Schizosaccharomyces pombe: one gene and its partner. The protein of the gene in region 2 purifies or fractionates together with the protein of the main gene of each other region. This does not show direct contact. Each region holds a gene or a part of one and is shown on either strand. Other genes may lie near its edges.

Region 1 (3,549 bases), 170 kb from region 2:
ATTTCAATCAAATAGGCCCCATTTGGTAATTAGCACACACATACAAAGAACGAATTTACCAGGCGACTGAGTCTTTCTTTCAAAAACCAAAATCCCCTCTAATAAACTATTAATTAGGAAAACAAAATTGATATTAAACACAATGAATGAAGAAAAACGGGGTCTTTGCATGAATATAAGGTATTTGAAAAGTATGCGAACACTGTTTTTTTTACACAACCAATTCATCCAATACTAATCATACTTTTAGATGTTTTGAGGAAAGCTAGAAAGATAGACGATACCATCCAATTATCTCTTAATTCAGCAAAATGGGAATACCCAGAAGGGAAGGTACATGAAACCCAAGAAGAGCGTTGTCAAAACGTAAAGAAAAAGTTGTTCGAAGGTTGGTTAAGTCGGGATCAATTCTTAAAAGAATGTCAAACTATTGTACGATCACAACTTGATCAAGATCGAAATACTTCCAAATCACCCTTAAAATCACAGCAGCAATTGCCTTCATCATCAACGACTCAGGTTTCCGAACGTTTGGATCCTTACGCTAAAGAGGTGCAAGTGCAATTATCCCCTCCGGAAGAGGTACAAATTGTCTTACAAAGTGAACTATCTGTCGAACAAATCATACGAGATCAAACGTGGGAAGTTCTGACAAATGCTTGTCCTGGAATGTTTAAGGATTGGAGAGACACTTATAAAGACTAATTACTTTTTGTAGCCTCAAATTTTTTTATGATTCTAAAAGAAATGTTTACAATAAAAATTCCGACACATAAATACACAACACCAAAATGTCAAATACAGGTATAGAATTAATATCTTTAGGTATTGTAAGTTATCATTTTGTAATGTAATTTGCATGTTTTAAGGATCGTTGATGTAAAGAAAGCAAAAAAGGAAAATAGGAATACACATAGTGTCGAAACTATGGATAATGTAAGCTAAGAAGGCCACCATCAGCGATCGAATAATAGGAACAATAGCTGAAAGATTCTGTACTATGAGAGTTCCTTTTTTGCTTTAAAAAAATGTACTACCCTCAGGGGGCTGAGGAAGTTTTCGGTTGGAAGAGGATGCCATTTCTCTAAAACATAAGTTAGGATGATCATTCATACGAAGTTTAATAGACATACTTTTTTAAATCTAGAAGAACAGTTTCCATAGAGTATTCTCTCTTCCAATGGCGAAGGCAGTCAATTTTGTGGGGATTTACCTAATTAACGTTAGTATGAACTGAAAAAAGCTTGATTTTTTTATTTCGCGTAAAATTAGCTTCTCTTCGTTAAGCCAACACCAAATTCTCATTTTCATACAATATACTGATATTTGCTATGAAAAGAATTTACAGAGAACATGAGGTATTTTACAAACTTTCTCTAATATACACATACTTTTCCTGTTTCACCATCAACTCCAGGCAAATTAATTCTAGATACGAACGTGACGATGGGAGGAGCATCAGGGTAATTGGCATCGCAGTGAATCTTCAAACTGTAAATGCGATTTTCATGAACGCTCTAAATTAATAACAAATTAGTACAAATTGAAAGTTAAAAGTATTAAAACAGGATAAGCTTCAAAGTGTATTGATTCGAAAGTCTTCATAAATTTCAAAGCTAGTCCCCGGTCATTTTTTTTACATCAATTTAACACTTGAAATATACCCCAATAGAAACATACATGGGCAGGTCCTAAAATCGTTGCATTCCAGTCGGACAATGTAATATCATCGGCGTTCGTCAAACCATATGAGCAAGAACTCTCTCCGAGGCCTTTTTCGCCCTTTTCTAGCTCTTCAAGTAATTTAAAATTGCGAGGGCTATCAAAATTAGTAATTGTTATCGACTTTAATATGTCTAATCATACACTTTTGCCATCGTTTGTGGTACTTGGTTAATGGATGCGGTGCATTCGGATCTCACAGTATCTTTGTTGATCATTTCAAAACAAGATCTGAAGATTCAAATTGGTGCTTTTATATTGAATTATTGTAATTTGAATCTAAATTGTGTCTAGATTAATAGTCCTAGCAGATCCGTGAGTACCTTCTCTTCCTTACTTGATTAATACATTACAAATACAAATGCATGATTACAGAGAATAAATTTTTCTAATATTCGATCAACGAAACTATTCGAAGAATAAAGAATACAGGATAGATACCAAAACCATCAATAATTACTGTAACATTTGGTTAAAGTTGGGTCTCGAAAACATTCGAACCAAGGCTAGCAATCTGTCAAAGTATATTTCAACAATTACTTTATAGAATATTCAATACTGGTTTAGTGAACCTGTCACAGGCTGCAATTTCAATATTTTTTCCCTACATTGGAAAAAGATAAAAAATCAACTTTTTGCCAAGGTCAAAAGTGAAGTCAAATATCCTTTGAACGATGTATTCTAAAAACATATCAAATGTAAAAATACAAATCATTAATTTGTTAGAATTTATCCTATTTCTGTAGTGTATTGATAACGTAAAACTTGCCAATATTTTATTTAATTTTGTAGCAGTCTGATATCCCATTTTCAGATAGAAGGGAGAAAAATAGCTTTTCATTTACTTTCATAGATTATGAATAGAACTCATAATATATTAATCCTCCGTTATTTAGCAATAAGCCTGATACTTGAGCAAATCGATGCCAAGCGTATGAAGCCATGCTTGAGAATATATAGCCGTTAATAATCAAATTTCTCTTAAAGGAGGGTAGTACTTTGGTTTTTATCTGTTACATGCAGTTTATCGGATGTCATGCAAAAAAGGTGGTGAACAAACATAAAACAAGCATTAAAATGCCAGGACCAAAAAAAGACAATGCTATAGTTTAAATTAGCATTGAGTATTTGAAACTACTGAATTTCAACAATTCTTGTCGTAAACTCAGGGTTCTTTTTCTTCATAACAATGCTTAGGATACCATTGTTAAGAGAAGCGTGTATAAGTTTTTCATCGACAGGCTGAGGAAGGGTTATCGTACGTGAAAAAGCACCTACACATCTTTCACTCCAGCGAATAAGAGGGCCCGCTTTTTCTTCCTCTGGCTTTTTACGCTCACCAGAAATAGTCAACTTCGATCCATGTAAATCAACTTTAAGGTTTTGCTTATCGATTCCAGGGACTTCAACATCAACTTCAATAGTATCCTCTGTTTCTCTTAGCTCCAATGCTGGGCCCCAGCACGATAACCATGCCGATCTGTTGAATTTCGATCGGTCACCAAATTCAAAAATATCATTCATAAATCCGTTAGTAAAAGCATCAAACAACATATTAAATGTGTTTACAATGAAATAAAAATTTAACTTTGATTAAGATGAGTAATAATTAATCAAAGCGTAAGCAAATTGAAGGACAATTGCGTTTCGGATATCCTAAGTACGTGTGGGTTGGTGATGCTACATATATATGCGTAGGCAAAAACCGGGATTTGTTAAATATACCAGAATATTCTCTCTGTAACAATATAATAAAACAAGACATTTCAATGGTACAATGGGGTGCACAAAACAATGAAAATACCATCTTTATATTATTTCCATGCA
Region 2 (4,777 bases):
TTTATATACTCTATCTTTTAATTGTAAAGTAAATGTTAGTAATTCACGACATAACTACACTTACTGTGATTTGCATCACATGTATGATACGTGTCAGTTTTGCAGGACCGTTCTATGTGTAACAGAAGTCGGGCCCAAACAACTATGAATTGGATCTTCCAGATTCAATCAAGCACATGTTTCCATCTACTTTTCATGTTTCTCACCTAGAAAAGTATCGACATAATTCAGAACTCAATTACGCTACCATTGATGAATCCGACATAGGAACAATTCTCCATATCCTAGAACATAAAAATAGAGAACAAGTACTCTATTTAAACGTTAAGTACATTTCGAATCTAAATCCGAGTACTATTATGTCAGGATGGACTACATTAGCTACAGCGCTACAAGCGGACAAAGCAATTGTCAATGATTATATTAAAAACAATAATCTAAATATTTGAGAACATATGACTTATCCTCAGATTTACATAGAAAATCTTGGGGAGGGCAATGTCAGCTATACTACACTATATATTAAATCACAAGGAAAACTCACCGCAGTTCTGCGTGTCGTTAAAACAGATACCAAACTGCGTAGTTAACATTATTAAAATATAGCATATTGGAGCCGAATCTCGCATTGTGTTTTACCGGAACCTTGAGTATTAACGCAAAATAAACTTTTGGTAGAACTTTCCAGATGATCTGCAAAAGATTAATAAGGAGGATCACAGCTTCAACTGAAGCTACTGAGCACTTGCCCAAAACGAACAAGTTTTGACGGAAATATATTGGCATTAACCACAGTTTTTGTATTTGTTAGGCTTTTTTTTAAAATCATTTTGCATTCTTTCACATGGCTACCAAACTGAAATCCGCCAAGTCAATCGTGCCTCTTTTGGATCGTATTCTGGTTCAACGTATCAAGGCCGACACCAAAACCGCTTCTGGTATCTTTCTACCTGAGAAGAGCGTTGAAAAGTTATCCGAAGGTCGTGTTATTTCCGTCGGAAAGGGCGGTTATAACAAGGAAGGTAAACTGGCTCAACCCAGCGTAGCCGTTGGTGATCGTGTCTTGCTGCCTGCTTATGGTGGAAGCAACATCAAGGTGGGCGAAGAGGAGTATTCGTTGTACCGTGATCACGAGTTGTTGGCTATCATCAAGGAATAAATTAATTAATGGGTAATTTTTTCTTCGTCAGCCACTGCCTATTAAGCATACTAAAAAAAAAGCTGTTGGACGCAAAAACATCTTTTGTTATTGTTCTTGCAGCAAATTACGATAAACTGGTACAAGATGGCTTTTTTAACAGCTCTAATTTTAAGGACGATTGCACTCAGATTTAAATGTGATGTAAATGCGGACATTTTTAAAGAAAATGACAGTGATTATGCGTTTGATGATCGATGTCATTTCTCTTTTATTTTTTTGTAAAGAAGATTTTGAGTTCGTGTTTTATGAGTCTAACCCTTCACCTGAATTTTAACGATTTCAGTTTAAAATGCGAGTGTTCTCCACATAGTTTAATTACGAACCCTTTTTTCCAACATTAAAAACTGTTAATTTTATAAGTTTTCTATATCCTTTCCCAAGTAGCCCAAATGTATAAACAAGTAAAGCGAACACCAGTAGGTAGTGAAAAAATTACCAGCGTCCTATAACGGTCGCATTTGCCCATGGCGTGTTACAATTTATACAATTAACATGAGCTAAATGCTTGCAACAGTAAACATGCAAGCAGTAGCCACAATCACATACATATCCCTATAAGGTATTCAGTTAGTAAGTTTGCATTTGTGATATGTATCTTACAGCAATTACAATTTCGCGACAAGCGTTGCATTCGTATAAATTGCTCTCGTATTCGTTGTGTAAATAAGCATCCAATTCAGCTAACGCATGATTCGTAAATGTCCAAATACCCTCTCTCTGTCTTAGCCATCCATCACGTTCAAACGTATGTAAGTGAGACTCAATAACACTAGGTGCCAATCCCATTTCTTTTCTCGATAATTTTTGGATTTGCAGAGTCGTTAATGAATATTGGTAATCATCACACTTCATGATCCATTCGATTATCTTTCTCATAAGTTCTATCTGAACAGGAGGGTAAGGAGTAGCCATTTGGGATACTGGGTCTCCAGATAAATTCTGAAAGTGCAGCGTTAATCTTCCATCCAGTTGATCCTGTACTCGTTTTATCTTAAAATCGAAATTGTGCAAAGAATTGTTCAATTCATTTATTACATCTTCTACAGTTGCCGTTTCTCCATACTGCTCTTGAACAAGTTCACGAACTTGTTCATTATCAACACCAGCTGTGCGACACATTATATATTGAAGAATGAATTTATGCTTGTCAGATAATCCATCTTGTCTCTCTTTCTCCATACCGTTTATTCCTTTTTTTGTATTTCTACTATTTTGATTACTAATTGACGCGTTAATTGACCAATGCAAATTTAAACAAACACGCACAAAACGCCTAGCTTCCTTTCAATTTTTTATCAAATTTTTATGGTCGTTTCGATTTTTTGTCTTAAAATAGTCCGTTCATATATTGACAATCATGAAACATACAGTGTAATGGTATATGTTGGTAGTAGATGAAATCAGTATTCAGTGTGAAACAAAATTTGATTACCATTAAATACGCGCAGCTAGAACAATTTGTGAAAAGCAGCAGATATTCCTTTCTTTTTTTTAAAAAAAATTTATGCTATATATTTTTGTGAAATTTCTTTCTTTATCCTTTTCTTTCTATTGTTTACGCACATAAACATGGTTAGAAAACATACAGATGCAAGCAATGGAACAAGAACATTTATTATATTTATTTTAAAAAAAAAAAAACAGCATATTTTTCTACTGATCATCTTATTGTACCACGCACATTTAGCTTTCAAGTATTTTATAACACTACGAGTTAAACGTACATCAAGAATAGGAAACTAAGAGATAACCTTTTGCAGTTTTTGAATAAGGGAAAGTTAGAAAGAATACACATATTTTTCGTAAAATGTAAACCCTGTTCGTGAAAGTTTACTTTTCGTTGAATTTAGAATAATTGTTTATAATTAATGTTGACTTATTAGCTTACTAGAATGCTTGAATTCGGGTTTATAAGAGTTCAGTCGTAAATTTTATCACTTGAATTGTCAATTGATAGATTAAAGTCCAATTGCGAGTATGCGCGATTGCAGATTTCATGAACAACCCTATATTCAGAGTCATGCAGTTAAATCATTTTCTTGGGAATAAAAACTCTTAACGATGCTGAATGTACTTTTTAAAGTAGATATATATGAATTAAATTAGGAAAGTGTGGTTTATTTGTTTGCGGACCCAAACATACAGTACTAGTCAACTTATATTATAGTCAGTCGATGTTAACCAAATCCAACTACTCTAAGAACTGTTGAAAATACGGTATTGGAAGCAAATTCAGCTTAATTTGTATGAGAGTTTAGGACGAATGTAGTTATTTAGTTGATTTATAAATTACTTTAAAACTGAATGGATGAAGTATGTGCTGCTCCAGCGCCCAAAAAGATGGTCGCGAAATCACTCGTCTTGAACACGTTCAGGAAAGCCTCTGTAAAAGAAGTTGTTGAACTAAAGAAACCTTGGAAAAAGGTTTTATGGAGGAAACAAGATTACCCAGATAACTTCATTGATGAATCTTTTTTGAATGGCTTACAACGAAATGTTAACATTCAAGTCACTGACTTTTGGTCTTTAGTGGCCGATAGTTTACCTGTCTCCCAGCATCTATCAAGCGTAGTTATATTTGCCTCGGTTTTCGTTTCGATCTATAGGAACCAGTTATCTTGTGCGCTTGTTGGTTTCGTGTCAAATGTTTCTGCGGTCGCGGCATTCATTTTGTGGGATTTTGTGTTGAGAAAGCCTTGTAACAATAGAACTTTTCCTAATTACATGGGGATCGTTAAATCTTGTATATTAATTGTTCTTACGCTTGCTGGTCTATCGCCAATTCTAATGTCATTAACAAAATCTACCTCTCCTGACTCAGTTTGGGCTATTGCTGTTTGGCTTTTCCTTGCGAACGTATTTTTTCATGAATATACGACGGAAACTATCAGACCTCATGTCAGGTACGTCTTTGGAAACTTCATCGTAATTAATTCCATTTCTAATTATTTTTCTTTTTAGGCTACACAATTCTTTATCAACAAATGCGGCGCTGAGTGCATCTGTTGTTCTAGCTTCACGACTGGAAAAGTCAATTAATGTATTTTTTTTTATTCTTTTTGCCGTTCATTGGTTTGCACTATTCCCCATTTTTCGCAAATACATTCATGTAAGAAGCAATTTATTGGCCTTTTCTTTTATTTAACCAATTACAGGTTTTCTCTTTTTACGCTGACATGCTTATGACCCTCGTATTGATCATAAGTGCATATATTGCTTTGAATGCTGTTGCATCTGTTGTTATTGCGTTTGTCTTTCTTTCATTAATATTTTTCATTTCGTTTATATGTCCCATTTGGTTTATTAAGCTTCAAAGATTTAAAAAGTATGTAATTATTTTATTTTATTATTTCTTTCTAAATTCTCACATATATATCTTAGTGAAATTCACGGTCCCTGGGATATTGCATTACCAAAGCTAGGTCCAAGTAAGGGCTAGCCTAATTCGCGAGCTTGCTTTTAATTGACTACGTTTTGCGAAAAAATATATTATTTTTTTTACGACTGGCCGTCTTTCAGTCTAATCCTTCATGATGGCATGACATGTCTTGTATCCAAACTTGATTTCCCTCTCTT

What was found.
Region 1: the proteins of nse1 (region 2) and mms2 purify together in Schizosaccharomyces pombe (affinity purification with mass spectrometry, with the first as the bait; one study listed by BioGRID). This does not show direct contact.

What each region holds. Positions count from the first base shown.
Region 1 is NC_003421.2:1,364,949-1,368,497, reverse strand, and holds mms2 (ubiquitin-conjugating enzyme Mms2), read right to left. Parts: upstream 1,903-3,549; 5' UTR 1,878-1,902; coding exon 1,867-1,877; exon of another isoform or gene 1,820-1,866; coding exon 1,681-1,819; exon of another isoform or gene 1,518-1,680; coding exon 1,392-1,517; exon of another isoform or gene 1,284-1,391; intron 1,214-1,283; coding exon 1,134-1,213; intron 1,085-1,133; coding exon 1,021-1,084; 3' UTR 793-1,020; downstream 1-792. Other genes in the region: protein mix23, read left to right, coding at 143-191, 251-705; Hsp20 family protein, read right to left, coding at 2,857-3,276. UniProt on the Schizosaccharomyces pombe protein: Has a role in the DNA error-free postreplication repair (PRR) pathway. Lacks catalytic activity by itself. The ubc13/spm2 heterodimer catalyzes the synthesis of non-canonical poly-ubiquitin chains that are linked through 'Lys-63'.
Region 2 is NC_003421.2:1,191,800-1,196,576, reverse strand, and holds nse1 (Smc5-6 complex ubiquitin-protein ligase E3 subunit Nse1), read right to left. Parts: upstream 2,591-4,777; 5' UTR 2,381-2,590; coding exon 1,802-2,380; intron 1,754-1,801; coding exon 1,634-1,753; 3' UTR 1,160-1,633; coding exon of another isoform or gene 845-1,159; 3' UTR 554-844; downstream 1-553. Other genes in the region: protein Hsp10, read left to right, coding at 845-1,159; gpi2 (pig-C family GPI synthesis protein), read left to right, coding at 3,506-4,104, 4,163-4,310, 4,357-4,526, 4,583-4,640.